Canis lupus familiaris: one gene and its partners. The protein of the gene in region 2 binds, or shares a complex with, the protein of the main gene of each other region. Links are inferred from orthologs where the notes say so. Each region holds a gene or a part of one and is shown on either strand. Other genes may lie near its edges. The genes, in order: GIPC1, MYO6, CLTA, GIPC2 and TOM1.

Evidence for each region.
Region 1: the proteins of MYO6 (region 2) and GIPC1 are in contact, whole or in part, in a crystal structure (PDB 5V6E), measured with the Mus musculus proteins. The link is inferred for Canis lupus familiaris from reciprocal best matches to the Homo sapiens genes MYO6 and GIPC1. Residues at the interface, in NP_001034635.2 of Mus musculus: Ser1055, Lys1056, Trp1057, Lys1058, Tyr1059, Ala1060, Arg1084, Arg1085, Leu1086, Val1088, Tyr1089, Trp1092, Lys1093, Asn1096; in NP_061241.1 of Mus musculus: Glu273, Ser274, Tyr275, Met276, Gly277, Ile278, Arg279, Asp280, Glu282, Leu283, Thr286, Asp310, Phe311, Ala312, Pro314, Glu316.
Region 3: the proteins of MYO6 (region 2) and CLTA are in contact, whole or in part, in an NMR structure (PDB 6E5N), measured with the Homo sapiens proteins. The link is inferred for Canis lupus familiaris from reciprocal best matches to the Homo sapiens genes MYO6 and CLTA. Residues at the interface, in NP_001355794.1 of Homo sapiens: Met1053, Thr1054, Pro1055, Met1058, Ala1059, Met1062, Ser1087, Trp1089, Lys1090, Tyr1091, Glu1113, Arg1117, Leu1118, Val1120, Tyr1121, Trp1124, Asn1128; in NP_009027.1 of Homo sapiens: Glu47, Asn48, Glu50, Ala51, Phe52, Ile54, Leu55, Asp56, Gly57, Gly58, Ala59, Pro60, Gly61.
Region 4: the proteins of MYO6 (region 2) and GIPC2 are in contact, whole or in part, in a crystal structure (PDB 5V6H), measured with the Mus musculus proteins. The link is inferred for Canis lupus familiaris from reciprocal best matches to the Homo sapiens genes MYO6 and GIPC2. Residues at the interface, in NP_001034635.2 of Mus musculus: Ser1055, Lys1056, Trp1057, Lys1058, Tyr1059, Arg1084, Arg1085, Leu1086, Val1088, Tyr1089, Trp1092, Lys1093, Asn1096; in NP_058563.1 of Mus musculus: Glu255, Leu256, Tyr257, Met258, Gly259, Ile260, Asp262, Asp264, Leu265, Thr268, Thr289, Leu290, Asp292, Phe293, Ala294, Pro296.
Region 5: the proteins of MYO6 (region 2) and TOM1 are in contact, whole or in part, in a crystal structure (PDB 6J56), measured with the Homo sapiens proteins. The link is inferred for Canis lupus familiaris from reciprocal best matches to the Homo sapiens genes MYO6 and TOM1. Residues at the interface, in NP_001355794.1 of Homo sapiens: Ile1182, Phe1184, Trp1202, Gln1214, Glu1216, His1218, Asp1220, Lys1221, Pro1222, Ile1224, Leu1226, Glu1234, Met1235, Cys1236, Leu1238, Glu1242, Thr1243, Gly1244, Leu1245, Arg1247; in NP_005479.1 of Homo sapiens: Ser440, Glu441, Phe443, Phe446, Leu447, Arg450, Ala451, Ala453, Ala454, Asp455, Leu457, Pro458, Asn459, Leu460, Ser461.

What each region holds. Positions count from the first base shown.
Region 1 is NC_049241.1:48,541,574-48,547,637, reverse strand, and holds the start of GIPC1 (PDZ domain-containing protein GIPC1), read right to left. Parts: upstream 3,507-6,064; 5' UTR 3,413-3,506; intron 2,909-3,412; 5' UTR 2,854-2,908; intron 1,211-2,853; exon of another isoform or gene 1,162-1,210; 5' UTR 1,068-1,161; intron 1-1,067. UniProt on the Homo sapiens protein: May be involved in G protein-linked signaling.
Region 2 is NC_049233.1:37,583,310-37,589,611, reverse strand, and holds the start of MYO6 (unconventional myosin-VI), read right to left. Parts: upstream 3,606-6,302; 5' UTR 3,428-3,605; exon of another isoform or gene 3,388-3,427; intron 1-3,387. UniProt on the Homo sapiens protein: Myosins are actin-based motor molecules with ATPase activity. Unconventional myosins serve in intracellular movements. Myosin 6 is a reverse-direction motor protein that moves towards the minus-end of actin filaments.
Region 3 is NC_049232.1:52,990,391-52,996,389, reverse strand, and holds the start of CLTA (clathrin light chain A), read right to left. Parts: upstream 3,878-5,999; 5' UTR 3,738-3,877; coding exon 3,521-3,737; intron 1-3,520. UniProt on the Homo sapiens protein: Clathrin is the major protein of the polyhedral coat of coated pits and vesicles.
Region 4 is NC_049227.1:69,374,724-69,380,801, forward strand, and holds the start of GIPC2 (PDZ domain-containing protein GIPC2), read right to left. Parts: upstream 3,940-6,078; coding exon 3,667-3,939; intron 1-3,666.
Region 5 is NC_049231.1:29,799,795-29,805,317, forward strand, and holds part of TOM1 (target of Myb protein 1), read right to left. Parts: intron 5,242-5,523; coding exon 5,157-5,241; intron 3,816-5,156; exon of another isoform or gene 3,536-3,815; intron 2,129-3,535; coding exon 2,050-2,128; intron 1,168-2,049; coding exon 1,018-1,167; intron 738-1,017; coding exon 603-737; intron 510-602; coding exon 363-509; intron 1-362.

The DNA of each region.
Region 1 (6,064 bases), on a different chromosome or scaffold from region 2:
CAACTTTTTTCTTTTTCCATGGGGGCAGGGAAAGGTTGGGGTGGTGGTGGAGGAGAACCTTAAGCAGGCTCTACAACCGGTGTGGAGCCTGATGTGGGGCTTGATCTCACAACCCTGAGATCATGACCCGAGCTGAAATCAAGAGTCAGACGCTTAACCAACTGAGCCACCCAGGCACTCCAGGCTTAACAGCTTTTTTTTTTAAAGATTGTATTTATTCATGAGAGACATACACAGAGAGAGGCAGAGACATAGGCAGAGGAAGAAGCAGACTCCCTGCGGGGAGCCTGATGCAGAACTTGATCCCTTGACCCCAGGATTATGCCCTGAGCCAAAGGCAGACGCTCAACCACTGAGTAATGCTTAACAACTTTTAAGACATTTATTAACTGCTTGGATTTGTCGTTTTGTGAATTGTCTAAGTCTTTGCCCATTTTTAAAAATTGCACAGTTTGTTTTTTATTGTAATGCCTATATCTTTTTCTTTTCTTTTTTTTTTTAAGATTTTATTTATTTATTCATGGGAGACACAGAGACAGAGAAAGGCAGAGACACAGGCAGAAGGAGAAGCAGGCTCCATGCGGGGAGCCCAATGTGGGACTCGATCCTGCGTCTCCAGGATCAAGCCCTGGGCTGAAGGTGGCGCTAAACTGCTGAGCCACTGGGCTGCCCTGCCTTTATCTTTTTCTTATTGATTTTTGGGAATTGTTTACATATTTGGGATACTAGTCTTTTATTGATTACTTCATCTAACCATAGCACACATCACACTAAGCATTCACCTAATATCTGATAAAAAACAAATTCTGAATGAATAAACCCATACTGCCCCCTCAGATTATTACAACACACTCAGTGATGCTTCAAACCAAACCAAACCAAACCCCTCATCATCACCTCCCCTGTTCTCCTCCTGCTGCCCCTCATACATCTTAGCGGGATGCTGAGAACATGAGTCTGGAACCTGGTTTCTCCACTTATTAGCTGTGTGACCTTGGGCAAGTATCTTAACTTCTCTGAGCTCCAAGGAGGGTGGCCTGGGTTCAAATCCCATCCTTGCCACTTACCAGCTGCGTGGTCGTGGGCAAGTGTCACTTCATGTGATGGAGCCTCAGTTTTCTCAGTCGAAAAATGGGTGGAATTCCTGTCTCTCTCCAGGTGCTTATGGGAATCCAAAGAGATTGTGCAGACAACCCGATTAGCATTTTGCCTGACATTCAATTTAAGAAAACTGTTACTAGTATTGTCATTATTATTATGGCCTCCTCCCCTGCCCACCCCACCCCCCCCCCCCCCACCGCCCAGGAACATCCCAGTCTGTGCTTCTGCTGTCTGCTGTCCGCGGAGGCCTAGTCTAGGTGGCCTCCTCCAGGCAGCCTCCCTGGCTTGCCCCAGCCTGCTGGAACTGCCCCTGTGGTCCAGACAGCTCAAGGCCCATGAACTTAATTACACATTATCCCGGCAGAACTCTTGTCTTTCAGTCCCAGGCTGCTATTTCACTTCGTGTCTCTATTTTAAAATGTAAACCAGATCACGTCACTCCCCGGCTTCCAATCTTACAGCGGTCTCCTACCTTTACAGAGGAAAAGCCCCAAACTCCTTAATATGAGCCACAGGCCCCTGCAGAACTGCCACTCTGGCGGCAGCTCGTGCCCCCACACACTATCCCAAGCTCCATCCAGCCTCAGAGTTTTTGCCCAGGCTGGGCCCCCTGCCTGACCTTTGCTGGGCCACCTTCTTTCTGTCATTTAGATCTTGTCTCCAAAGTCGCCTCCTCCAAAAGCCACCCCCTTTACCACAGATTCCACCCGGCCACCCCCCTCATATTTTATTCATAGCACACGCACTTACTACCATCCGCGGGTACTGTCTTTATCTACTTGTTAACTTGCTTGCTGCCCTTTTCCCCACTAGGACGGCGGCTCCCACAGAGCAGGGATTTTTGTCTTGTTTGCTATTATGCCCTCTGTGCCAAGGACAGTGCTTGGCCCATGGGAGGTGCTCAGTAAATGTTTGCAGAATGGACGGGTGTGCGTGCCTCGTGTCCTCATTCAGACTCCTCTCTGAGCCCTCCTATCCTCAGAACATGCCTGCTGTGGGGTTGCTAACTGACACTTCCTCCCCACATTCCCAGTGTCCCCTCAAACCTGAACATAGGGATGGTGGAAAAAGTGTCAGCCGGGGGTCCAAGCGCATTGGCTGGAATCCTAGCATCCCCACCCTCGCTTCCCTGGGAGGGGCCTGAAACTTAGCAACCCCACCACCAAGCAGAATCACAGTGAGGGCAGCAGGAAGTGGGGAGGGGAGTTCCTGGGAGTTGACAAAAGCTTGGGTGGGGGGAGAGACACCACACCCAACCTCCCCTTTCTAGTAGGATACTGCTTTGGAGGGGAGGGCGGGAGGCGGGAGGCAGGGAGGCGGGAGGCCTCTGATTCAGTCTTGAAAAACCGGCTCCCGGGTGTTTCCGGGGAGAACGCCTACTGCCTGGGCCTCAGCGCAGGCTTTCCAGAGGGGCCCAGTGGGCAAAGGACCCCAGCATCCAGGCCTCCTATGTCCCCTGCAGATGTCACTCTCTTCTTAGGACCTAGGTATTCAGGCAAGCCTTCCCAGGTCCGGGGAGGCAAGACAGGGTTGGTGTCCGGGGACCTCTTGGGGGGAAGCAAAGACCAGCAGGTGTGGCCCAGATACATGCATGGTTGGGGGATGCAGGCAGCAGCGGGCAGAGGAGCTGGTCGGGAACACCTGAGCCACGGAGCCACTGGGCCACTGATCCATGGAGCCATCTAGTCTAGCGGCTGAGACTCCAGTTCTGGACTCCGAAGCACGGGTTCGAGTTCCAGCCCTGCCACTTACTAGCTGTGTCACCTTGGGCAAGTCACTCCACTTCTCCGGGTCTGTTGCTTCACCTCTAAAAGAAGTAACAGCACCTTCCATGAGGTGTTTGGACGCAACGATGTGCATGGTAAATACCTGACACGGAAGCGTCCAGTCAGTGCTAGCCGGGGGTGATTTTTTCATGATTATTACCGGGACCTCAGTCCTCTCCAGGTCCCTCTCTCGGCCCTGGAGGGCCGCGTCGAGGCCAAGGTGGGACGAGGGAGGTGCCCGGGCAGGACTCAGAAATGCCGAGCCCGCCGGGACGGGGCTGTCCAGGGCAGTGCAGGGGGCAGGGTGGGCTGCCGACCCCATCTCAGAGGCGGGAGGTGTTTGACCCCGGCCCCCGGCGGGAAGATGGGCGCCTCCGGGGGAAGGGGCCTCAGGCATCCTGGGGCCCAACCTAGACCTCCAGCAGCGACCCCGGGGCCGTCCCCCCGCTACTCGCTCGATCCGCCGGATCCCCATGGGTCCGCGACCCCGCGGGCCCGCGCTGGGGTCCCCGGAGCGGCCGTGCCCCGCCCGCAGGGACACTCACCTGCGCCGCCGCCGCCGCCACCCGCGCGCTCCGGGCTCGGCCCTCCGCAAACTCCGGCCCGGGCCTCTCCCGCAGCCGCGGCCGGGGGGCGGGGCCAGCGCCCGCAGCGCGCCAATCAGGAGCGGCCGCCCGACGCCCGTGGCCAATCCGCGCCGCGCCGCCCAGCGCCGGGTGGGCCCGACGGAAGCATTCCAGAGGGATCCCTCCGCCTCGCCCGGCTCCTCCCGGCCCCCCCGCGCCGCGGCGCAGTGGACCTGCCCACCCTGCCGAAAGCCGCGGCAGGCTGTACCACCGCAGGGCGCGGAGGGGGGACCTGAGGCTGGGCCCCTGCCAATCGCGGGGAAGGAAGGAGGCGAGCAACCAATGGGGAGCTGGGGTCCCTGGCCCACGTGCTGCCGGCGGAGTGTCCGTCTGGGGTGTCCAGGGTGGTAAGGAGCGGGAGGGCCGGTCGTGGGAGTCAGGTGACGCGGGCCGAGTTTCGGGCAGAGGCTAACTCGCCACGTCCGGAAGAGCTGACCCTTTAGGAGACCTAGGAAGGGGCCGAGGGCAGCCCCCGATCCCAGTCCTCCTCCCTGTCTGCGCCTGCCCCAGCCTGGCCATCCTGTGAGCGGATAAAAAGGATGCATTCATTCCGGGCGGGCGAGCGGGCGGAGGAGCGAGATGAATAGGGAGGGTCCCGAGTGTCCCTGCTTCCTGGGGTGTACAATGGACAAGGGCATTTATTCATTCATTCATTCATTCCCTCACTCGTCAAATATTTCATGTGCCCCTGCTCCGTGCCAGGCTCTGTCCTACGTCTGCAGCTACTAAAGCGAATAAGCTGAATGTGCTTCTGGTGGAGGTAACAGCTCGTGCAGAAGGCCTGAAAGCTGGACTGAGAGATACAACACATTTTGGGAGAGTGCAATATCCTAGGAGCTAGCAAAACTGTGTGAAAGGGTGCATGGAAGGAAGACAAGATCGAGATGGACTGCTCGCTTGTTGGTTAAATCAGTGAATATTTACTGAACACATAATATGTGCTAGGTTGTAAAGGGTCCCCAACCATTCCGAGCCTCTGCCCTTTCATGAGGCTGTCTCCTCCATCTAAGTGCCCCCTCACCCCTGCTGGGGTCCTGAGACTGGCAGTGAGCAGCCTCTCAGAGCACTTGTGTGAATGAGAGGACCAGGTGACCTCGCCATCACCAGGTTTGGTGAGGCCCCGAGACTGGGATGTCTCAGGCAAGGGTAGGTCCAAGAAACAAAGACACAGATGCACCTTGTACAGACCAGGATGCTCAGTTCCCAGGACAGATGAGCTATCCTTGCTCTACTTCAAAGCCAGCCTCTGGGGCAGTTGGGGCTGGACCAGGAGCTTGCTGTGTGTTCTGGGAATTGTAGTTCTTGGAGGCCTCTAACAGCTGCAATTCTGCTCAGGCTTCATTGAATGACTGGGTCTCTGCAGTCCCCAGGGTGAGCTGTTGTGCATCCCAGCCCCACCGGGGCCTACAGAGAGGCAAACTGAAAGAGGAGAGCGGGGCCGGCTTAGCTGCTGAGGGCTGCGAGTCTGGCCCCACCCAGCTGGCAAACGCTGCCACTGTTGATGCAACAGGCACCGCTATTGTCCTTCTCTTCCTGTTCTGCTGACCTCTGCCATCCCCACTGAGTGATCAGTTGCTATGGCTGGGCCTCTGTGGGACTGTACCCACTGCCCTGCTTGTGCCTGGCATCTGAGCTGCCCTCTACAAACCCGAAGAGGACAATATGTGGGGCCATGGGGACAGCAGAGTCCTGAGCAGAATCCACCTGAATCCACCTGTTGACTGATGAGGAAGTGCCTAAGGAGGGGTGAGGGTGTTGCCCAAGGGTACAGAGCAAGCCACTCTTTATCCAATTTTATAGTTCAAAGGGCTAGTAGGCCCAGAAGCTGGGGAGCTCAGACTTCAGTGTTACTACCTCTGTCCCCTTTGGAAAAAAACATCTGGAATGCCAGCTAATACACGCAGAAGGAAAGACTGAGTTGGAAAATCCCCATTTTGCAGCCAGTAGAGAAATAATTAATGCAGGCGAGGATCCTCAGTGGAGGAAGTAGATATTCACACAATCTCAAAGGACCAGCCTGCAAATTACTTGTTAATTACAGTGGGGGAAAGATACCGTGGAAAAAGCACCAGGGAGAAACCGGGCAGTCACCACTTTAACCAAGTGACCAAAAGTAACATCACCAGTGATGGGACAAAGTTAACCTCGTATGCCCCTTCCTGTGATGTGCTGAGGACACATCACCTGTAGAGTACTTGGTCCTGTCCAGAGTGCTTAACCTGGATCTAATCATGAGGACACAACCAGATACTTCCAAATGAAGGGACTCTGCCAATGTACAAACAAACAACAACAACAACAAAAAAAACCCCAAAACCAAAAAGCAAAAATGCCTGGACTCTTCAAATAGATCTATGTGATGAAACGAACAATCAATGTGTTAATAAGTGAGTAAATGAATGAACTGCTTGGGAACAGTTCTAGATTGAAGGAGATAGCAATGACAACAAAATCAATGTATGATCTTCAATTGGATCCTTGATAAAAAATTTTTCAGAAAAGAAAGATAGGGCAGCCCGGGTGGCTCAGTGGTTTGGCGCCGCCTTCAGCCCAGGGAGTGATCCTGGAGAC
Region 2 (6,302 bases):
AGGAGAGAGAGAAGCAGAGACACAGGCAGAGGGAGAAGCAGGCTCCATGCAGGGAGCCCGACTTGGGACTGGATCCGGGTCTCCAGGATCATGCCCTGAGCTGTAGGCGGTGCTAAACCGCTGAGCCACGGGGGCTGCCTCTTCTTACCATTTTTCTTCTCATTTACCCAACCACATTCTACTGCTGAAATGACTCCTACACTTTGTTACAAAAGATGGACTTTGTGTGCTCACTTTCATCCTTTATGTCTTTATAGCTCAAAGGACATTCCTGAAATAAATGAAGGCCATAAAAAAAACTGTTCTAATAGTACAGGTGACAATTTAATCATACTTTGAAAACAAGCCCCCCTGCGCAAGGGTTACGAACTTAATTATGTAATATTTAAAAGACAGTACTGCATTTATGGACAACGATCTCATTTGAGAAAAATAGAAAGTTCTATCTGAAACAGGAACATTGTACTATTCATTTTATCTACAAAGAAAACCAGTGTTATATTACAGTCTAATTCTAATTCCAATAAACCCACCAAAATAAAGTACACGATTTGTATAATATTCTGGTATTTACATCAGAAATGATAAAGCAACACCGTATTACTGTTCAGAGTTGTCAACTTAATGAAAAAAAAACAAAAACAAAATTCAACATTAGTTTCAGAACCACATTCATGACCCATATCATCCTCACTCCTGTGTGCCTTCTTTAACACAATACCAGTTCTGCAGGTTTATTTAAACAGTCTACCAAATGAACTAAGATCAAGGCAACCTGGTCTGGTGGAAAAGACAAGGGTTTCGTGGTCAGAAGACTTAGGTGTGAATCCAGACTTTGTTCCTCTGGAGCTGTAAGACCTTGAGCAAATATTTAATTCTCTAAGCTTAAATTTCCTCATGTGTAAAAGGACAAGACCACCAACCTTGAAAATTATTTTGTAGATTAAATCTCTCAGTGTTCTGATTATACCAGATTCCTATATGGTATAGGAATTATACCAATTCCATCCAGTGGGTGGGTGATGATCTTATACTACCAAAGGGCCAGTTCAGGGGCACCCGGATGGCTCAGTTGGGTAAGTGTCTGCCTTTGGCTCAGGTCATGATCCCAAGTTTCTGGGATAGAGCCCCCGCATCTGGGAATCTGCTTCTCCGTCTCTCTCTGCCCCTTGTGTGCTTGCTCTCTCATTTTCTCTCAAATAAATAAATAAAAATCTTTTTTTAATTAATTCATTAATTTTAAAAAATGAGGGCCAGTTCAGAATTATTATGAAGTACATCATTAAAGGGATCACAAACTGTATGAGAGTTAGCAAAGCAGTAATACCATTTTTAGTCTTTTACTGAAAATGTTTTCATATACAAACATGAAAATTTCACAGAGGTCAGAAATCTTTTTAAAACTGACATTTTTAAATATCAAAATGAAGCTTCAATTATCAACAGTGAAAACTGGTTAATTTTCTAAAAAATGTTTTGGGTGCTTAGATTTATCCAAACCTCACAAAGCAAAAAAATTTAAAACTTTCTTAAAAGAGCTGTACTTTAGAACCCAGAGACAGCCCAGTTATCTAAACAATGGGCTACATGATACACCACAGTCTCCAGGCAAAGTCACAACAGGATGAGAAAAGAGCCTTCAGCCTCTCTCAGATTTCCTGGCCACTGTTATTTTAAAACTTGATCACATAAACATAAACAGAGGGAAAAAATCCACTTCAGATAAGCGCCATGGGTTATGACTTATGATCTGTTCTTAATACATCATATTAATTTACATTAAATATTACAATAATGCATTACACTTTTCTTGTTCATGCTTCTGGACTAATGAAGAATACGTGTATTACAGTTTTACATAATATGTATTTAGAGTTTTTAATCCTGTAATCTCTTTCTAAAGTTCTTTTACTTCTTTTTAAAATTACCTTTTGAAAACGAAAAGGTAACTCAAACTGGGAGAACAATGTCACATAGAACACACAAACGCAATAGGCAAATCTGCCTAAGACTAAAATGACTTGTTTACCACTGTGTGTATAATTCCTGCGCAATTTAAAATACTCAACATGAGCTGTATATTTAAAAGTCAATGAGTTACTTTGAATGGCTGCATTGTTTCAAGCTCTGGCTATAGCCCAATGTGTAATGTTTCTAAAATTAATGATAAAAAATACCAAGGTAATTTTTTCACGAAGCAATTTCCAAATATAAAACCACAACCCAAGGTATCTATGAAGTTTAGTTAATTTGTACAGATATGCTGTTTTCCTGCCAACCTTTGCACCATGACCATTCCAGCCCAAGTTCAAGATTCACATTTCATGGTGTGAAGAGTTTCAACTAAACCTTAAGAATTTTTAAAACTTTCACACCCTGACGATACTCAGATACTTTGCATCTACACCACCAGAGCATAACAGCAAATGAAACTTTTATTTAGCACGTACAGCAATCTGTGAAGTTGCGGCAGTGCTCCTAGCTGCTCACTAGTATCTGTAGATTAGGATGCATACATTCCTCCACTACAACTTTATGCCCCATAAAACGTAACCTGTCTCCTTAAACACTACAGAAATAGTATTTCCGACACGGATGTGCCAGTAATAACCCTACCAAATTACTTCCTACTTAAAATCCCGGGGTTGGGGATCCCTGGGTGGCTCAGCGGTTTAGCGCCTGCCTTCGGCCCGGATCGAGTCCCGGGATCGAGTCCCGCATCGGGCTCCCGGCGTGGAGCCTGCTTCTCCCTCTGCCTCTCTCTCTCTCTCTCTGTCTCTCTCTCTCATGAATAAATAAGTAAAATCTTAAAAAAAAACATCCCGGGGTTGGAGCATCTGAATGGTTTTAAGGAGTTTTTGGAAATTAACAAATATAAAAAGCTCTTGTTCGGTAGCACAAATGTCCATTAACATACTCAAAGTACTGGACCACCTAAGGACTAAAATTATCCCGTTCAGACGGTCCCACCCGGTCTTCTACATGACTAGACTATCAATTCGACAGTGGCCGGCACCTGATACGAAGGTATCTCCGAGCAGGCGGCACTGTTCCTGCGCTGGATTTCAAGCTTGTTTACTCAAGAGAAAGAACTACCACGGGGCGTCCACGTCCGGGTGGGGCACCGGAGTGCTCTGCTACCCGGGGGCAGGGAAGGGACCCACAGGTAGCCTGCTGACGACAGACCCGTGAAAACCAGAACCAGCCCCGCACCGCCGTGAGCCGCCGGCCGGGCCCAGCCGGCACCTGCCTCACCGCGCGCATCCCGGGCGGAGACCCGGCCGTCAGCCCCGGCGGCGGAGGCCCGAAGCAGCGCGGCCCGGGGACGCGAGGCCCGGACGCCGACGCCGACGCCGACGCCCCGAGGAGCGGCCCCGCGCCACTCACCGGGGTGGCCGCGAGCGCAGGTGCGCGGAGGCGAGGCTACCTGTGGCCGGCGAGGTGGAGGGCGGGGTGAAAGGTAACCAAGTCGAGCGCGAAGGGCGACTGCGTGGACAGGCTCGGAGACGCGGCGGCGGCGGCGGCGGCGACCGCGGTCCTGCGAGCTTCCTGCTCGGACAGATCCCGGGGCCGTCTCCGCCCGCCGGCCGGCGCCCCGCCGAGTCCCCGGCCCCGGCGCGCGCACGTCACGGCTACGGAGCGCCCAAGGGGGCGGGGGCGCCGCGGGCCGGGGCGGGGCGGGCCGGGGCGGGGCGGGCCGGGGCGGCCGGGCACGGGGGGCGCAGGCGCGCGCTCCCCGAGGGGGCGCTGGGCGCCCGCAGCCCCCCGCCCCGCCCCGCCCCGCCCCGCCCCGCCGCGCCGCTCGCCCCCGCCCCCGCCCCCGCCCCGCGGCGCGCAGCCTCCCGGGCGGAGGTGGGCGCGCTGGAGCGCGGGAAGGGGCCGCGGCGGGCCCGGCCGGCAGCCTCGTTCCTCCCCCTGCGGCACGGCCTTCCTCGCCGCGGTTGTCTCCAGCCCGGGTGCGGAGACCGTGGAGTCCGGCAACAGCAAGAACCAGTTCACGGAGGGAGAAAGGTGTTCAGACGCGGCCAGGACCACGCGCTTTACTCGAGGGCGTTGTTGCGGAGGGAAGAACCGCTGCTAACTAGGCTCCGGTCCGGGTCGGCTTGGGCTGCGCTGGGCTGGGCTGGGCTGAGCTACGCTGGGCTGAGCTACGCTGGGCTGGGGTGGGCTGCACTGGGATGCGCTGGGGTGTGCTGGGCGCTGGGCTGCGCTGGGCTGTGCTGGGCTGAGCTGGGCTGCGAGGCGCTGGGCTGTACTGGGATGCGCTGGTGTGTGCTGGGCGCTGGGCTGTGCTGGGCTGTGCTGGGCACTGAGCTGCGCTGGGCTGCGCTGGGCTGGGCTACGCTGGGCTGGGGTGGGCTGAGCTGGGCTGCGCTGGTGTGGGCTGAGCTGGGCTGCGCTGAGCTGGGAGGCGCTGGGCTGGGCTATGCTGGGCTGCGCTCCGCTGAGCTGGGCTGCTCTGGGCTGCGCTGGGCTGGGCTACGCTGGGCTGCGCTGGTGTGGGCTGAGCTGGGCTGCGCTGAGCTGGGAGGCGCTGGGCTGGGCTATGCTGGGCTGCGCTCCGCTGAGCTGGGCTGCTCTGGGCTGCGCTGGGCTGGGCTACGCTGGGCTGCGCTGGGGTGGGCTGAGCTGGGCTGGGAGGCGCTGGCCTACGCTGGGCTGAGCTGGGCTGCGCTGAGCTGGGCTGCGCCGCGACAGGAGCAGTCTTGCTCTCTGCTTTGGGTGGCAGAGGGTCTGAGATGGAAATTTTGTATTCCTCCGGCCCCCGAATCCCCATTTACTGACTAGAACCCGATCTTCTCTTTTACTGTTTTTATAAGTGACATACCTGTAAATCCTCTTTGAAAATTAAATATGAAGTGGCTATGCAAAATTGAATTATATGATGAAAACATACGTCGCCTTTACAACGAAATGAAATGGTAATGATTAATTGTAATACTAAATGTCTCCGTTGAAAAAAGTTAAGAGGACCTACACAAGATAATTACATTTTTTTTTTCCTCAACATTTCTGAGTGGCAAGTAGGAAACTTCAGGAAATCTACAAGATTCTGATAAGAGACAAATTTCAGATACTCAGTTCTTCCACAGTTCTTTTGGTGGAAAAGATAAGTTACGGTGAGATATTACGGTGAGATAGAAACTACTAATAATGAAGTAGGGAAGTAAGAAAGAGGAAGAGGAACCAAGAAAGGAAATAATTTACAGCAATCTCAGAAATTTAATTTCTGATTGCCAGGAGGTAGGTCTTAAATGTATAAAACTACATTTCAAACAAATTGGAAAAAAGAAAAACAAGAATAAGAAGAGAGTAATATCTGTTTACAGCTTTGAGTTCCTTTTGGACTTAAGATTTAAAAGCTACGTGAGTAATAACTTGTGATTTTTTTTTCTCTTGTTCTCCTTTACTCCCACTTCCATTACTGAGTCCCTTTGCTTCAAGTTCCGTATCTCTTGAATGTATCCAGTTCTTCTTTAGAACCACTACCATTATCTTATTTCAAGCCACCATTATTTCAGATCTTGCATACTACTTTAGCCAGCTAAACTTTTCACCAGGCTGCAATCCTGTCCCCTTATAATCTTCTCTACAATGCCACCAGGTTTATATTTTACAAAAGTCTATGTAATCCTGTTTTTAAACTCCTATAGTGACACTCCACCTTTAGTATAAAATCCAAATTAGTTAAGATGTGTTATGTGAGCCTTCCATTGTTTTTGTTTAAGAAGCACAGTGGGGATTTCTCTTGTTTTTTTTCTTAATTGAATTTTAATACCTTTTCATTGTTCCTCAGTTCATCACTGTCTTAAACCCCCAAAAGCTGTCCTAAACCAGGCTTATTCAGTTACCTGCTTGCCTTTGGAATCATTTGCATTTTGGATCACTGTCTTAGCCCTTCTTTCCTATCCAGTCTCATTTCCACCAACAGCCTGTCTCCATTTCTTGTACTTTACACAAGCCATTTTGAAGTACTGGTGTCTCCAGAAAAAAACAATTATGCTCTTTATGACATTGGAGTGTTGCCAAGCTAAATCCAATGAATCCTTCAGAACAAAAACTGTTTGTCCCCTCTAAGTTTTCCTGGGGCCCCTGGCTGATTCAGTCAGAAGAGCATGCAGTTCTTATCTCAGGGTCCTGAGTTCAAGCCCCACCTTGTGGCCTTAGATTACTTAAATAAATTTTAAAAACTTTTAAAAAGGAAGAAGTTTTCTTTAATCCTCTTATCTAACACTTAGGTGCAATTTGGTGGTCTTTTTCATCTCTCTCATAGCACTCATTGCACGTATCTCTTCCAACAC
Region 3 (5,999 bases), on a different chromosome or scaffold from region 2:
TACAATGGCTAGTGTGGCCAGTCCTTGGCCTAAATTCTGGTTAATATATTACATTTCACACACCAACTATCCAGTTAATATATTCCAGCCCAGGGCCATTCCAATAGGGAAGACTTTGATCACTACTCCATACACAAAACTAGAATTCTCATCCCATACTTCCTCCTAAATCGCATGTTGCCTGTCCTTTAGAATTGAAAACTCATCCAAACCCCCAGCAAGTGCTTTGAGCTCTTCTTAGTTACTGTAGTGACATTCAACTGGCCTAAGTCAAAGAACTGCCTGTTGCTACAAAAACATGCAGAAAGATATCAAAGGCCCTGATTTATTAGGACAGCTAAGCTAAGAAACCAGATGCCCCCAAAGGAAACTTTGTAGGGCATCTCAGGAACTCCAGGGAGAAAAAAGGGCCAGTATAAGTTTCCAGAGAAGACAGACAATTTGTCCCAAACCTACCCACGACTTCCCATGGTGCCCATCCACTGAAGTCAAGCACATGTGGGTTGAATTACAGTGGAGACGTATTAGTTTGCTACCTTTGGAACACTGCTTAAGTTCCCTGATGATTCCTTATCTGAAATAGGATGCCACTACCTAGCCTGCAGTTACTGCACGGATCTGAAGCTACAGAGAACCAGCATTCATTAAGCGTGCAGTACTACAAACTATCACATGTGCAATTTCCCTGAACTTCCCTCGACCACTGCTACCAAGAAAATTCATCTCCTCTTCCAGAAAGCTTTAATTTATTTGCCTTTCTTCCTCCTCCTCCAAGGAGAGACTTGTCAGAAACAAATGGTGCCTCACTGCCACACTCACAGCAGCTCCTTAGTCACCTTTTTTCCTCCTCCCTCCTCAGGAAAATTGAGGGCTTTTCAACAGCTCTAGACTCATGCTGCTTCTTCTTTCCTCACCACTTGCTCTTCAATATTTGATCCACTTCACTCTGCTGGTCACCCCCCACTTCTAAACTACCTCTTCTCCAGGTTTTCTAACAACTGAAGGAGTCCTTCAAGGCTCAGGCCTTCTGGTTTCTGCCTGCTATCATCCTTCCTGGGAGTTTCCCCAGAGCCGGGAAGAGTTTAGCTATGTTCCTCTTTATCCTCCATCTGTTAAGAGCCTCCTGCCGATGTAGCTCTGGTATAGTAACACATCAGATACAGGGCTCCCTCCTAAAATCGGTTTCCTCAGCACACCCCAAAGCCTATAGGCTTTATAATGCCTCCCTCCCCCTACTCCTGAGGAATGAGTATAGTCAGGTACTGGGGCAGTGATATACCCAGTACTGCGTGTATGCATTTTTCAGGTACTAATGTAATCCTAGCAACCTTGTGTGGTATAGATCTGTACATTTTACAGGCGAAAAATCTAAGGTAATGCAGTGGTGGTTACCTAAGTTGCCTGAGACCACAAAGTTAAAAATCACACTCAAGCAGTTTAGGTAGCACAGAATCTAAACCACTAGCATGCCTCTTTCAAAGGAAAGAAAAGTGTCCAACTAGTTCTCTACTCCCCGAAGGAAGTGCTGACCATTGCACTACTGCCGACCTCAACAACACTGTCAGAGGTCTGGCTTCAAATCACTAAATGCTTAGTCCACTAAGAAAGTCCTTCCTAGAAACTAAGTCAGCAATCATCCTTTCCTTCCCTTTGCTGAAAGCTTAATGCACAAGAAACCTGTGTGTCCATATCTACCCTCTCCCTTTTACCTCTCCAAACTGCCGTCATCAAGATTTGTCTCTACAGGACTCTTGGCCCTGGTATTTTTGTTCATGACTTTGTGAGTTATCTACTATGTGCCCGGGATACAACTGTAAGCAAGAGTAACATTGTCCTTGAATCGGGACAGTTTTCTAGGTACAGGTCCAGATTCTCCCAACTCCGTCCTACCCAAGACAGCCACACTGCCTTTCAGAAATGACAGTCTGTTGTACCATGTTACCCCTGCTGAAACAACTGCACCAGAATATGGTACGGTCTACGGGTAGGGAAACTGAGGGCATAGCTAGTAATTTGCCCTTTTTTCTTAAGCAAGTCATTTCTCTGCAGGGCTCAAGTTTTCTTTTATTAAATGAGGAGCAGTAAACTAAGGATCTAAGAAGTTAATTTTTAGGATTCTCAGGCAAATGTTAATAAACACCACCCAACAACAAAAACCCTACTAAACCTAACTTCATCTCCCAGCCACAACTCAGGTCACTCCAACCTGCCTGCTGTAATTCACATTTACAGGTGTATCATATGTTCTCGTGTAAGTTCTTATGCGGGGGCTGATTCGCTTAGGAGGTAACATGGTGCAGTATAAAAACTCTGAGGTTTCAAATGAACAGTCTCCTTACCCCTACACACAAAAATGGTTCCACCTGACTGGCACAGTAATTTGAAATTTGAGTCTGCTTTCACAAAGCACAACTTTAGTGCACCAAAACCTCAGTCTCCAGCACTCCATAGTGTCCCATTCCCAGCAGGCTTCTCTCATTTATGTCATCTGCCTGGCTCCTTAAGGTTTGAGGTTAGAGTAATATAAACACTCCTATCAGCCCCACCAGCACCCTATTCTCCTTTAATTTGAATAGTTTAAGTAAATGAAAACCCAGGTCTCATTTCTTCCAGCTAATTTCCTACTTCCTCATACAACTGAAAAGGTCTCTTCCACTCCTCTTTTCTTCCCACCGTAATTCCAAGTATCACACAAAGGTAAGGCATTCAAAGGTCAAACCCGCATCCTATTGCTATTTTTTTTGTCACTTTGCTTGAGTTTGGCTGGGAAAAGGCCACACCACATTCTCTATTCACCTTTTGGAAGACCAGTCTAGGCTAATCTTAAATTCTGCTTAGGCAACACTGCCCTACCAAAGCTGTTCTCAGAGGAAGTAGAGCTCCAGAAATACCGGCCATAATCCGATCGACAAAAGGTTAAAACTCTCACCCTTCTTTGGCTGGAGTTTTTTCGTCCAGGATTAGATCACCTTTCGAGTTCACTATTCACGCCTCCTTCCCTCCCCATAATCCAACATTCTGCATACCTGAAGTGCTTAAATGCTGATTTGCGCTGCTATTTTTGTTTGTACATATCTCAAAAAACGATACTACTATAATCATTCTTTCTGCCCTCCTTTCCTAATAACTAGTTCCGTGCCGGGCTCAGGCTCGCCTTTAAGTCTGGCCAAAAACTGCGCCAATGCGGCTGTTTCAAAGCCCCAGGCTCAAAGCACAGCAAGTGCTCATTGAAAAGTTCCTGAACTGAATGGGCTTCTTCGAGCTCTTCAGCCGGACTGTCACCCAATTTTTCTTAGCTTTCTCGCTCTGCCCCGTCCGGGGGCACTCAAACATACTCCTACCACTGAGCAGGCTCCCCGAACCTAGGTTTCTGCTATGACTGGGCCGGGGTCTCGTTTCCTCTTTGCACCTTCCTTAATCTCCCGGTTCAGCAAGAACCAAGAGTTACAGAGAGCGCTCAGACCCACTCAGGGCCCATTCTATACAAATCGTCCCGCCCCAAACGCGGCCGCACTCTCACCCGGAACCCCCGGCGGCTCGCCGTGCGGCTGGGGTCCGGGGGCACCGCCGTCCAGGATGGCGAAGGCCTCGTCGTTCTCGATGCCCGCAATCTCGCTCTCCTGCTGCGCCAAGAAGGCCGCGGCCGGGTCTTCTTCGCCGGCACCGGCCACCCCGTTCCCCAGCGCGGGGCCGCCAGGAGCGCTGGCGGGAGCGCCGAACGGATCTAGTTCAGCCATGGCGGGCAGTTCAACGGCACGGACACCGGCGTTGAGAGACAAGCCAACCGACCCACCAACACCGCGCCCCGCAGCGGCAGCTGTGGCGGCGACCGCGATCCGACGACAAGCGGGAGGGAGAAGGCGGAAGCGGAAACCCTGCCCGTATATCCGGTTGGTGTAGGCGGTGTGGGAGAGCCGGGGCGGTCACAACCAATCAGAGCACAGAAATCGTTGCCGAACTGCCCAATCAGCAGGCGGAGGGGCGGGTCCCCGAGGAAAACTCGTGACTCGGGCTGCGCCGGCTGTGAGGGTGGCGAGCCCAGCGAGGCCCCAGGGAGGCGGAAGTGGCTTGACTTCAGCGGCCTTCCCCGCTGGGCCTTTGGTGCTCCCTGACCCTGGACTGCCGCTTCTGAGGAGACCCCAGGGCCCAAGCCAGAGGTGAGGTGAAATGAGGGCGGCAACGATCGTCGGTCGACTACCGAGGAGGCAGGCTCCTTAGGCTTTCTGAACCCCGGTTTCCTCGTTCGTGAATCCTGCACTGCATCCCTCCCAGGCTTCTTGGGAAGAATGAATCCTCTCATGGCTGTGTACTGGCTTTATTAAAAACTTTGTATTTGTTAATTCGTTCGCCTCACCTGGATTGTTTTCCCGTGTGGAGCCGCCTGACTTAAACGTGGTGGATTCAAATCCACTCTGATTTTTCTACCCCACGGTATTCTAAAAAGGTGACTATCTCTCCTTTCCAAAGCCCTTTTGCAGCCAGTACATCTTATCAGGGCTAGACGGAAGTTTCTTTTTTTTTTTTTTTTTTAAAGATTTATTTATTCATGATAGTCACACAGAGAGAGAGAGAGAGAGAGAGAGAGAGAGAGAGAGGCAGAGACACAGGCAGAGGGAGAAGCAGGCTCCATGCACCGGGAGCCCGACGTGGGATTCGATCCCGGGTCTCCAGGATCACGCCTCGGGCCAAAGGCAGGCGCCAAACCGCTGCGCCACCCAGGGATCCCTAGACGGAAGTTTCTAGAACTGAAACACTCCTTAGGGACCACCTAGGAATTTCCTAGGGAAACAGACCCCTCTATTGGGAAGGGATTAAAATCACACAGGAAGCCATCAAGAGGAAACCCAGGTCTTCTGGGCACCTTGGTAATGGTACAGCCTCCTGGATGGACGTATCTTGTCAGCCTAAGAAGAGTGAGAGCTTTCTCTAAAATTCCTTCAGTATCTTATCTTACGTCAGGGGGTTTCATCTACAGCATAGAAGTGATACTGGGTGATCACAGTTAACCGTGTTCTTGTTGAGATAAGCAATGGCCAACAGGAGGACCTCTCTCCTTCACCACCACCACTCCCTAAAAAGGAAAAAACAAAAACCAGCCAACCAGAGGTCAAAGATGTCTCCAGAGATAGCAAGGGACAGGAAAGTGGTTTTTAAAAATACACGTCTTCAGTGGCAAAAAGAGGTAATTGTTTAAAGCATGTATTTTTAGTCATTTTAAGTATGGAATGTAGGAAAATTGTGAAGAAAAACATTGGACACCTAAAATTTTGGGCCCTGCAATTCAATTTTCTCCTCCCACTTCTTGTTTAATGCTCATCCCTAACATAAACATATTATCGATAACCTATGAAGTAGTTTCACATTCATCTTTTTGGAAAGAAAGGCTGCTTTAAGTTAATCACTCCTGCCCTGGGCAGAAGATAATGGGAAAGGATGACCATGAGAGGGTCCAAAGAAGACAAGTCTGGATGCTCACAACCGTGGCTGAGGGACAGACCGCACTCACTCCTGAAAATAGATGGACACAGCTGAAAACAAGTGTGGAGTCAAGTCAGGGAGGGCTTGAGTGCCCAGGTGAGGATTAGTACTGAATTTCACCGGTTATGAGGAACCTTTGAAATACTTTAAGCAGGCAATAACCTAGAACCCTGTTCTGAAAGAATCTTCTGGCAGTGTAAGCATATGAGAGGGTTCTGAAAGCAGAGAGGTCTGTTAGGGAAGGTGCTGCAGTTGAAGCTGCAGTGGTTCAGGAGGGAGGACCAGGGCCAAGATATTTCAGGGAACAGAGCAGTGGGCTCTGATGGAAAGAAAATAATGGAGGGAACGTACACCGAGCTTGGTAACTGATAGCATTTAGGAGGCAGGAGAGTCAGACAATTGGTTTTTTTAGATATATTTTATTTTAGAAAGAGAATGTGAAAGCTGGGCAAGGAGGCAAAATCTCTCTGAAGGCATCAGGGGATTACCAAAGCAGTGAGCAAGTGTAGGCCCAAGTTCTA
Region 4 (6,078 bases), on a different chromosome or scaffold from region 2:
CAGGCCAAGTCCTTCCCTCCCCCTCCCCTTAGTAAAGGAAGTTCAACTCTTCATGCTGAGCTATTTATAACCTTTATAGCCACCTCTCTATAAAAAAAAAGGCAGGGCTTCTGAGCTAACGATCTATTGAACCTATTAAGGGAGAGGATGGGATTTTTCTTTTGCTCCCACTGACAGCTCACAATTCCCTTTGCTGGGCGAGTGAGACTAGAAATGGGATCTCACCACAGTGCATTTTAATAAGTTACTTGTTTCAAAATTAACTACTGAGATACTCAGGACATACTCTACTATGATGACCAATACTTTATCCTGGATATACTTAACTATTTTTTTAAAGATTTTATTTATTTATTCATGAGAGACACAGATGCAGAGACACAGGCAGAGAGAGAAGCAGGCTCCCTGCGGGGAGCCCGATTCGAGACTCGATCCCAGGACCCCGGGGATCACCACCTGAGCTAAAGGCAGCCGCTCAACCACTGAGCCACCCAGGAGTCCCAACTATTCTTAATCCAAAGAGAAAACTCACATTAATGTTGGGTATATGCATAAGTAAACAGATATATATGTTTGGAGTTATAAAAAATACATGAACCTTGATACAGCAGGATTATGTTATCTTGGAATTTCTATCTCCTAATTCAGTGTGTTGGAAACTGAAAACACTGACAATGGCTGCCAAAGGTATCACAGACACCCTGGAAAACTTGGGAAGCAATACAAAATAGAAGTTCATGGAATTTGGAGTCAGGGAAAGCAAAAAAATACATAAATAAATAAACAAATACACCTGGGTTTAAACCAGGCTCTGCTACTCACTATGTAATTTTGAAAAGTTTGTGAACCTCAAAGCCCATTTCCTCTCTGAAGCAGTGATATCAATAATATTTTTTCAGGAATTAAGTGGATTGAATAAAGTCCCACACGCCATGGCTTCAGAATGAGGAAAGCTATTAATGCAAAGCATCTAAATCTGGAGCCGTTGGTTACAGGAGAAACATTTCAAGTTGTCAGTTAAGTATGCTAACAAACTCCCTTAGCTTAGAAACCAGAAGATCCAAGTTTAAATAACATCCCAGATTTTTTCTTGCTAGTTATGTGACCTTGGCCAAGGCCCAATCCCTTTGTGCCTCAGCTCCTCACTTAACTGTTAGATATTAGTAATACAAGTTACAATTTGTGAGGCAGGACCATGTACCATGCAATCTGATAAGTTTATATATGAACTCCAGTCTTCACAACCCTTCAAGGTAGATGTTCTCGTCTGGGTTCGTTTTTGTTTTGTTTTGTTTTGTTTGTTTCTTGAAGATTTGTATTTTCATGGAATGCCCACATCCAATATGGGTCTCGAACTCGCCACCCTGAAATCAAGAGTCACAGGCTCTACCAACTGAGCCAGCCAGGCACCCCCTTTCTTGTCCGTTTTATATTTGTCTGAAAATGAGGGAAGTTAAACTTGTTCAAGACCCCACAGCCAGTGGGTAGAACCTGGACTCCCATCCAGGCTTAAGCGTCTCCAAATGCTTTCCTTAGGTCCCCAATGAACTACACGCCACCTGCCTCTCCTAGAGGGAAGGACGTTATTCCTGTGAAAGTGCTTTTTGAATCTAAACGTCCATATGAACGCGAATTATTGTTACTTCTCTAGGTCAATATAAATAATTCACAAAATGCGGTTGTGCTTTGCTCCTCAGTGCCTGGGAACCCTGAAAGAACAAAAGGTTACGCTTCAGGCTCTCGTTCATCTCCCCTTGGAATTTTGCCGTGACCTCAATTTTACTTGAACAGGCCTGAAAAACAACATTAAAGATCAGAAACCCAAAGGCAGCTCTGTGCCCTCCCCGCAGTCCAGGGCAGCATCTCCTGCTTTTCCTTGAAAGGTGGACAAAATATTTCCTCGGGCCAACTTCTCTTAGGCTGGCAGGTCGCGGGGGAAAGCGTAGATGGAGCAGCCCCATAAACAGCCATAAAACTAGCGCTTTCCAGACCGCACCGCGCAGGCACGCAGGCAGCCAATCTAATGAGAAGTTCAGCCCCTTTTGACAGGAAAGGGGGTAAAACTCAGAGCCGATTTTCCCCCTGAAAGTTTTGTCAGCGAATCCCACGGTGCTAGCTCTACCTCTCTCCAGTCTTAGTCCTGCCCCCGCGGTGTAGACAACTTCCCGGGAACTCAACCAAAGGGATGCTGGAGCTCGGCGCGGACAAGCCACCTGCGGGGCTACGGACTCGGACTCCGCGATCCCGGCCTAAATCCCGGAGATGCTCGCCCCCCACCCCCCACCCCCCACCCCCCCGCTGAGGAGGGAGAGTAAAGTCCAGGAGAAGTGGCGGCTGCTACGAGCCCCGCCGGGTCCCCACTCCCGGGAGGCGCTCCGGCCCGGAAGGCACACGCGTGTGCAGGAGGAAGAAAGGCCGCCCCCGGCTCCCCGGAGGACAGGCCCAGGGAACGCGGCTCCCGGTCCCGGGCTCAGCCTTCCGCTCCCCCGAGGCCTCCCGCTCCCCCCGGGCGCCGTGGGCGGGCTCCGCGCGCCAGCACCCCTGCGCCTCGGCCCGTGGTAGCGCCGCCCGTGGGAGAGGAGGGGGGCGCGCCGGAGGGGAGGGGAGGAGGGGGGGAGGGGGGGAGCGGGCACGGAGGGGAGAGGAGGGGAGAGGAGGGAGGGGAAAGGAGGGGAGGGGAGACGAGGGAGAGGAGGGGAGGGAGGGGAGGGGAGGCAGGGGAGAGAGAGGAGGGGGGAGGGGAGGGGGCGCCGGGAAGAGGGGGCCGGGAGGGGAGAGGAGGGAAGGGGAGGAAGGGGAGGGGAGGGGGCGCGGGCACGAAGGGGCGCGCGTCCAAGCGAAGGGGAACGGAGGGGTGCGCATGGGGGGAGGGGGCACGGGAACGGAGGGGCGCGAGCCGGAGGGGAGGGGAGGGGAGAGGAGGGGAGGCAGGGGAGGGAGAGGAGGGGGGAGGGGAGGGAGGGAGAGAGGAGGGGAGGGGAGAGGAAAGGAGAGGGGGAGGGGGAAAGTAGGGGAGGGAGGGGAGAGGAAAGGAGAGGGGGAGGGGGAAAGTAGGGGAGGGAGGGGAGAGGAAAGGAGAGGGGGAGGGGGAGAGTAGGGGAGGCAGGGGAGAGAGAGGAGGGGGAGGGGAGGGAGGGGGAGAGGAGGGAAGGAAGAGGAGAGGAGGGAGAGAGGAGGGGAGGGGAGAGGAAAGGAGAGGGGGAGGGGGAGAGTAGGGGAGGGAGGGGAGGGGAGGCAGGGGAGAGAGAGGAGGGGAGGGAGGGGAGGGGGCGCGGGGGGGGGGTGCCGGGAGGGGAGGAGAGAGGAGGGGAGGGAGAGGAGACGAGCGAGAGGGGAGAGAAGGGGAGGGGAAGGAGAGGAGGGAGGGGAGGGGGGGAGGAGGAGGGGAGGGGAGAGGAAGGGAGGAGGGGAGAGGAGGGGGCCCCGGGAGGGGAAGGGAGAGGAGGGGAGAGAGAGGAGGGGAGGGGAGGGAGAGGAGGGGAGAGAGAGGAGGGGAGGGAGGGGAGGGGGTGAGGGGAGGGGGCGCGGGAGGGGAGAGGAGGGGAGGGGAGGGAGAGGAGGGGAGGGGAGAGAAGGGGAAGGGGCGCGGGCACGGAGGGGAGAGCAGGGAGGGAGGGGAGGGGCGGGAGGGGCGCGCGGGGCTGGGGCGGCGCACCTGGCGCTCACCTCGGCGGCGGCGATGTCGAACACGGCGGCGATCTTGGCGTAGAGCTCCTGGATGTTGGCGAAGTCCTCCACGCGGCCCGTGGGGCTGCCGTGGGCCAGCTGCGTGTGGAAGACCAGCCTGCGCTGGGCGGCCGGGGGCGCCGGGGGCGCCGGGGGGGCGGGGGGGGCCGAGGGGCCGCCGCCGCCGCCCGCGCCCACCGGCTCGACCTTCACGAGCCGGGCGGCCTCCTTGGGCTTATTGCCCCGCAGCCTCCGCCGCAGCCCCAGGGGCATCTCGCCGGGCCGAGGGGGCCACCTGCGCGCCCGCCGCCGCCTCTGCCGCTGCCGCCGCGGACTTTGCGCTGGGCCGGGGCTCGGGCAGGTGACAGCCGCCGCTCGGCCAATGGAGAGGTGCCCCCCCCCCCCCCCCCCCCGGGAGCGGCACCTGCAGCGCCGCGGCCACCTGCCTCCGGGAGCGCGGCGGGGCGGGAGGCTGGGCCCGTTCCAGCCTCCAGCTCCCGGGCTCCCCTCCCCACTTTTTTTTTTTTTTAATGGCCCGATTTCCGTCGGAGCCCTGAGATGCTGAAGCTGCCGAACCACACGTCTTCGAATCCAAGCACCCCGGCCCCTCCGGTGCTTTTCACGCGCCGAGGAAGGCGCCCCGGGGCCGGGCCCTGGGGACGGGATCCAAGGGGAGGCCCGGGGCTCGGCCTCCCCGCGGCGCGCAGGGCCCCGTTGGAAGGGGAAGGGGAAGGGGAAGGGGCTGGTGCGCGCTCAGGCCACAGCCAAACGCTCTAAGCCTCGGGGACCCTGCTTACTTCGTCCCTGGGCACTGTTGGCCCCCGGAGGCTCAGTGCTCTCCCCAAGTCCTGCGCGCCACCCGCGCCCACCTGGGCCCCTGCCGGGGACTCTCCTGCCCCTTAACCTACGGAGCAGATTGAAGCCCTTCTGTGCCAGGTGTCAGTTCCCCCCAATTCCCCGCCCCTCCGAGTAACTCCACTCCCCTCTGGTCTCCAAACTCCTAAGAAATCTCTTCCTTATATTTTTGACCCTTGCACTTGATCTCTGCGCCCTTCTGCGAACTTTTTTTTTTTTTCCAATTCCAGTATAATTAACGTATAGTGTTATGTGTCAGGTACAACATGGTGATTGAACAACTCTTAGGATCTCTATTTCTAAGCTACTTGCTAAGTCCTGTCCTGCTCTCCATCCTGTGCCACTCACTGGTGGTCGGAAGCCCAAGTCCTTTCCACGGTTTCCAAGGCCTACCTTTGCAGTAGCCTGGAGCTAGCTACATCCTCACAACAAAGCAAAAATAATCTCGACTGCTAGGTTGCTTTTCCTCACTTTCCCCTTAGCTCTTAAGACTGCCGGTGATCAGACTTTGCCCCCACACGCCACTGAAATTGCTTGTACTCTGATCACTTCTTAAACATCAGATATGATTAACTCTTTTCAATCTTTATCTTACTTGACCTTTTAGAGTATCTGACTGCACATTGACCATCTTATTCTTAAAACATGCCTCTGTTTTGACTTACCTCTCACGCTCCTTGCTAACTGCTACTTTCCAGGAACTGTTTGCTCTAAGGCTGTTATTTTTCTTGGCCATCTTTTTTTACTCTACGTGCTTTCCCTGAATGACCACATCTGTTCTCTTGGTTTCATAGATATTGTTGACCTCCAAATTTATATCTGCAGCTCAGTCTACCACAAAGGGAAGCAGGAGCCTCAAAGTGGGATTTTACAAACTCATCCTTTAACTCAAAGCATCTTTTTTTTTAACTCTTGATTTCAGAAAATAGGATAATGTACTCAGTAACACAAACCAGACATCCTTGACTCATCACACCAAACTTTTTTTCCTTTTCCCCCATTCTCACATCAGTTCAGTTCTGAAAATCCATGTTTCTCAAATTAAGGTTAGCAGATGTCCTGAAGGAGAGAGGGGATCTATTAATTCTTTAGGTTAATTTTAATATTTTTGTTTTATGTTTTGTTCTATGGCTGAAAATTTAGTATAAACATATTCCAGTTCATGTGGGCTTTAGAAATTAATATAAACGTAGTCTATTTCATACTCCCTGAAAATGGAATATTGCTACATGATCTCAGGACCTGAATTTGCCTCTGTGTTTATGATTGCTATAGCAACAAATAATATTACTTTCTTTTATGCTGGGAAAAGAGTGGAGAAAACCTAGTGTGTAAGGATGCATTCCCATCAAGTGAAAACCAAATAACTTCGTAATATGTTGTATGAATAGAGAGCTCACGGAAGTTTGATTAAAGAAAAGTAGGAAGAGAAGTGAGTCACCATGGGATATATGGCCAGTCCATTCTCCATATCCAAGCACTGTGTGGGAAAACAAGAGGGTGTGATATTAAGAAAAGCTTCACAGAATGCTTTTAAGCCATTTCAAATAAAATATC
Region 5 (5,523 bases), on a different chromosome or scaffold from region 2:
GCACATAAATCCCACAAAGAAAATGCAGGTGATGTGGTTGAAGAGGCTGCCTGTTGGGCACTCCCCACCCCATCCCCTCTTGGGTGCTGCCTCAAGGGCTCCTCGGGGTACACGGTACACAGTACACAGTTTGGAGAACCGCTGGCTGGGGTGCAAGACAGAGCCTGCTGGGAGTCAGGCACCCTTGAGCTTGAATCCCACCACCATCTCTGAGGACCTGTGTGTGGCTCCGGGCAAAGGAGTTTGTCTAAGCCTCATTTTTGAAACAGGATGAATGATACATACCCTATGGGGCTGCTACGATGACATACCGAGAGGGGCCCTCCCTGACCCACGCGTGGCTCTGACTCAGGTTTCTTTACCTGCTCAGCGGTGGGTGTGATGGGTGTGTCACTGGGGAGCGTGGCCGGGATGGGCAGGGAGGTGGTGTGCTGGGTGGAGTCTCCTCCATGGCTGGCGTCAGTGCCCACGGAATTCTGCCCTGATGGTACCTCAGAGCTGAACACGGTCTAGATGGTGGAAGGTGGGATCAGCGAGGCCAGTGGGGTGGGTGGTGATCCCCCACCTTCCCTCACACTGCTCCCCAGGTGGCGTCTCCTCACCCTCTGGGGCGTGTGGATGGGTGACAGCATGTCCAAGTCGGTCATCGGGAATTCCAGGCCCTTCCTCCGCAGGTCCTCGTACACGGCCACCACACCTGTCAAGTCAGGTGAGCTGCGGAACGCGTCAGCCCAGGACTGAGAGGGGAGAAGGGGACACGGCCGGTAACCACTGTTCACCGTCTCCCTGGTAAGCCGCCTGCCCATCCCCAGAGAGCAAAAAGTCCCTCCCTGATTGTTGGTGTCTGAGTTACGGCCCTGCCAAGCAAGGCCACCCCACACTCAGACCCTTCAGTGAATGCATAAACAAGACGGCCCCACACGGCCCCGCAGGAGAAACAGACAGAAGCAAAGGGGAAAAGAGCAACAATGGCGGGGCAGCCTCCAACGCCCTCCCGGCCTGCCCGCCTGCACTCACCTGGATGAGGTTGAGCACCTTGTCGTGCACGATGGTGGGGGGGTTGTTCTTGGGCAGGATGGTCCTCACCAGCACGCCCTCCACAAAGTCCTGGCTGGCCACCAGCAAGTGGAAGCGATGCCCGCAGTTCTTGACGCAGGTTTCTAAGACCTGGAGGCCGGGAGGCACCCATGAGCACTCATGAGGGGAGGGGGAGCGCCCAGGACCCCATCCTCGCATTCGGTCTCCATCCCAGAGGGGCTGAGAGGGGGACCGTTTCCCTAGAGGGAGACTCTGGAACCCAGAGAAGCGGGGACCGTGCCGTGTTTCGGGGGCTGGTGTGCTGGTTAGCGGCCCCCACTGAGGGGTGCCTATCCTGATGCTGCTTCTGAAGTGACTACTTCAGGGGGCGGGTAGCTCTCCAAGTGGAAACCAAAGTGAACTTTCATAATCAGTTGGTGACCCTGCAGCCCCAGAAAAAGGCACTGAACTTCCCTCCCTGCTTCTTGTTCCTACTGCTGGGCACGAGTGCCTTTTCAGCGTAGCCAGACTCCCTGGATGCGAGTGCTGCTGTAGGGGAGGCTGGGACACAGTGCTCTCATCTCCATCCCAGCCAAACTCCTGAGACAGCCAGGATGTCCCCTCTTGCCTGGCTTGTCCTCAGCCACTGGGATTTGCTTTATGTTCATTTTTCAGGGCATTCAAGGGCCAGTCAGCACCCAGTGTGGCCTGCCAGGCTTTCTGCCCTGCCAACGTCTGGGTTTACTGAGCTTCTATGTCACCTGGCAGGTTCTGTGGCACAAGCTCTCCGTGACCCGTTCTGGAGAGATGTGGGCCCCTCAGTCTGTTCCCCAGGCCAGCAGGTTGGAGAGAACTTTTCCAAGTGGCTTCTCATGCCACTCTGCATCTGCCTAGCACACACAGGACAGCGCTTCGCCCGCAGACCTTTCCTTCCCAGCCCTTGCAAGAGGAGCCCCAGGGCGGCTGGAGTCCTGCTGGGCCTGGGGGGAGGTGTGGTTCTACCATGGACACACGGATGGACAGGGCACTCACCGTGAGAGCCAGCATCACCTCATGGAAATTCTTGTTTCCTACGATTCTCTTCTTCACTGCTCGGAAGGCATCTTTGGGACTGGGCAGGAGGACAAAGGGAAAGATGGGCTGAGGAATGGAACCTTCTTATCCAACACATGGGGCTGCCTGCCTAACTAAGGTGAGGAGGCATGGAACACAGGCCATGGCATTTATTTGTCCTGTGTCCTGTTGAACACGTAGGTTTGAATCACTACACAAACTGCCTGGCCCCCAGAAGTCCTCAGTAGGTCACAAAATACCTGGCAAGGATTCTCCGTGTATGGACCCTGGACCCCCTGCACCAGAATCCCCTGGCGGGGGAGGCATGATGGTTTGTCAAATACGTAAGCCCCAGGCTCCCAGCCTAGACCCTGAGCCAAGCCCTCGGGGAGGCTGTGTGCTCACCATGCCCCCGGGGGCTCCCTGTACACTGAGGTTTGAGAACCAGTCACCTGCAGGCATAGAGTCCTAGTGCCCCTTCCCTGGCCTCCCTGCCACATCCTTCTACTCGTCTAAGTAGCCACACGTGCTGGCACCATGCTGGGTGCTGGGGACACTCTGGGGAACACGCGGCTCTGCTTTCAAGGACCACGTGTCCCGGGGAGACCCACATCCATGTGGGGAGGGAGAGAGGCCTGCAGTCAGAGTGGCTGTTGGGGAGGGGGCTCAGGGGAGTCCTCTCAGAGGAGGTGGCATCCCAGCTGGGTGTGAGGAAGTGATGGAGACAGCTGTGGGCGGCAAGGGAAGTGGTTCAGGCAGGGGTGGGAGGGACTGAAGGGAGGCCGAGTGGGGAGGCAGAGGGAGAGGCTGGAGAGGCCCAGTGGTCATGGTAGGCAGGATGGAGACACCCAAGTACAGGAGGGAGCCCTGAAGGCCTTGGCGGCAGCCTGAACCCCCACCCTATCGCCCACCCCACCAGAACTGCCTCACCCCTGCGTCCTGTCCTTCCACACTGTTTGGGTGAAGTCCATGTGGCCCCAACTGCTCTGGCCTAAAAAGCTTTGGGGCCCCCAACTTCCATGCCTACCTGGTGAAGGCACAGCTAAAACCTGCCTCACCCAAGGCTGTCCCAGTCCCCCATTTCCCTGGTGCGCACTGCATTGTGGCTCCTACCCAGGTGCTGCCTGGCTAAAGAGGTGCCTCCCAGAGGGCAGGGATGGCATCTCCTTTGACACTTTGCCTTGACAGAGCCCAGCCCGCTCCAGGAGCATGAGCAACGATTCCTATGTCTCCTGTGGCCGGATGTCTGCCAGCCATCTGTTCAGTGCTGACCCTGTCAAGGTCAAGTCAGGAAAGGCAGAAACCCTGACACGGGCCCCCCAACATGGGTGAAGGCGGCAGGGAAGGAGGGAAGGATCCATGGAGGCCTAATCAAGGCTGTGACGGAGAGGACATGCTGTATGTTCATTTTTCTCTGGCGGGCTGGGCCCCTCTCCCAGGACAGGGCACTGGGGCCCCTCCTCACCCTCAGAACTCCTCGCCTGCAGCCTCAGCTCTCTAAAGGGACCTGTCTCCGCTTCTCATAGAGGGGCCCATAGAGACTGGGAATCAGAAGTCCTGGCTGAGGTGCAATGGCTGTGGGGCCTCTTGTGTCTAGTAACAGGTCAGGAGCACAGAGTGGATGACAAGGAGGCCACAACACTGTGCGGGGTAGACCAGAGACTTGAGTTTAGATGACAAGCTTGGTGAGGCCAAGGGTCCCATCTGCTTTGCTCACTGCTGGTCCCTAGTGCCTCATGCAGCGCCTGCAACACAGGTAGTGCTCACATCAACGGCAGCAACTGAACCCACACTCGCATGAGCCCCAGTTCCACCAATGTTTACGAGGAAGCGGGGGCTTGCTTCTCCAAGGACATCCATGAAGCCCCCAGGCCTTCCCAGAGGCTGTGAGCATCCCTGCCCTCCACCTTTTATCTCGGTAGTCCTCGTCTGGTCCTCGTATCTCAGTGCTGTTGTCGTCTGCTCACCGCTCTCCAGTTGATGCACAGGAGGCCAGGGTGGCGCAGGTGTCCTCTACCAGCTGCTTGGCAAGAGCCCCGAGCACCACTGGGGATGCAGAAGCTGCCTGCAGCCACTGTGTGCTGAGCTGGGTGCTCCTTGCTCACTGCCTGCTTCCAGCCGGCCCCTCTCCCCACAAAGCACTACCTGGCTAAGAGGGACCTCACAGGCCAACTGGATTATCCCAGTGAGAATGGAAGAGGTCCTGCTCCGGCTGTTCTGATTTTCCAGAACAAAGGCCTTGTCAGGCCGTCCTTCCTGATGGCTATAGTGGTCACACCATATCCCATCCTTTCTGGGTTCTCCTGAGAAGGACACTGACCCTGCTTGGCCTCTCTGCCCCATTCAGGACCTTGGGCTTATTGCTGGAAGAATCTAAAAGAGCTTTACCTCTGAGGATAAAGACCTAGGGAGGTACAGTGACTTGCCCAAGGTCACACGGCTGGTCAGTGACAGCTAGTCAGAGACCAAGAACCCACGGCCACGATGCCTCCACCACAGCATGCGCCCCGGTGTGACCTGCATACTGGAAATGTTGAGGCGAGGCTAACGCCGATGGGTTCTCATTTCTGCTTTACTGTCATTGTCTTCTCTGTGTCCCCTGACCCCAATCTTAAGGAAATGAAAGTCTATTGCTCATAGAGAAAGCTGGGAGTCCCCCCCTGCCCATTCCAGGCCACAGAATGCAGAACGGTGCTTGGGGCCATGTCCCAATGTCAGGGGCTGCCAGCTGGCCTTGTCCTGGAGGATGTGGCCCAGGGATGTTCTAAGGGGTCTAGTTGACCAGGCCACCACTGAGAAACACGCGTGGCCTGACAACTGCCAGGGGCGTGTCTCTCTCTGGTCCGTCTAATGACAGTGTTGGGTGGGATTTTGGTTCCCAAATGCCTAAAACACCACACTTCTGCCTAGGGTGGGACCTGGACGATGTCTGCAGCCCTCCTGGTACCAAGGGCCACCAGCAGGGTCTACCTGTGTGCCACAGCAGGGATGGGACAGGAGTCCTCCAGAGGGGAGGGCAGGTTGGGCTGCTGCCGGCCATCCCTGGGCCCACCCATCCCCACTCCAGTCTCTCCTGCAGGCCTCACCCTTCCTCCGTCTCGTTGATGATGTCACATATCTCCATGTTGAGGGCCCAGTCCTCGCTCTGCAGGGAGCCATCTGTTGCCTTCTCTGCAGAGGAGAGAGCACAAGTCACAGTGTGTGTGTGTTGGGGGGGGGGCGGCGGGGTGCCAGATGGACAAAGTCAGATAGCTGCGTGCAGGTGTGTGGTGCGGGGCCAGGGTGGGAAGAGCCAGGGCAGGAAGAGCCAGGGAGGAGGAGGAGGAGGAGGAGAATGACAGATGCTTTCTGGGCACCCAAGGAGGGCCAGGCCGTGTGCGAATGGCTACCTGCGTTGTCCCGTTTTGTCATTTAATGCTTTTTTTTTTTTTGGGGGGGGGGGTGCTGTACTCT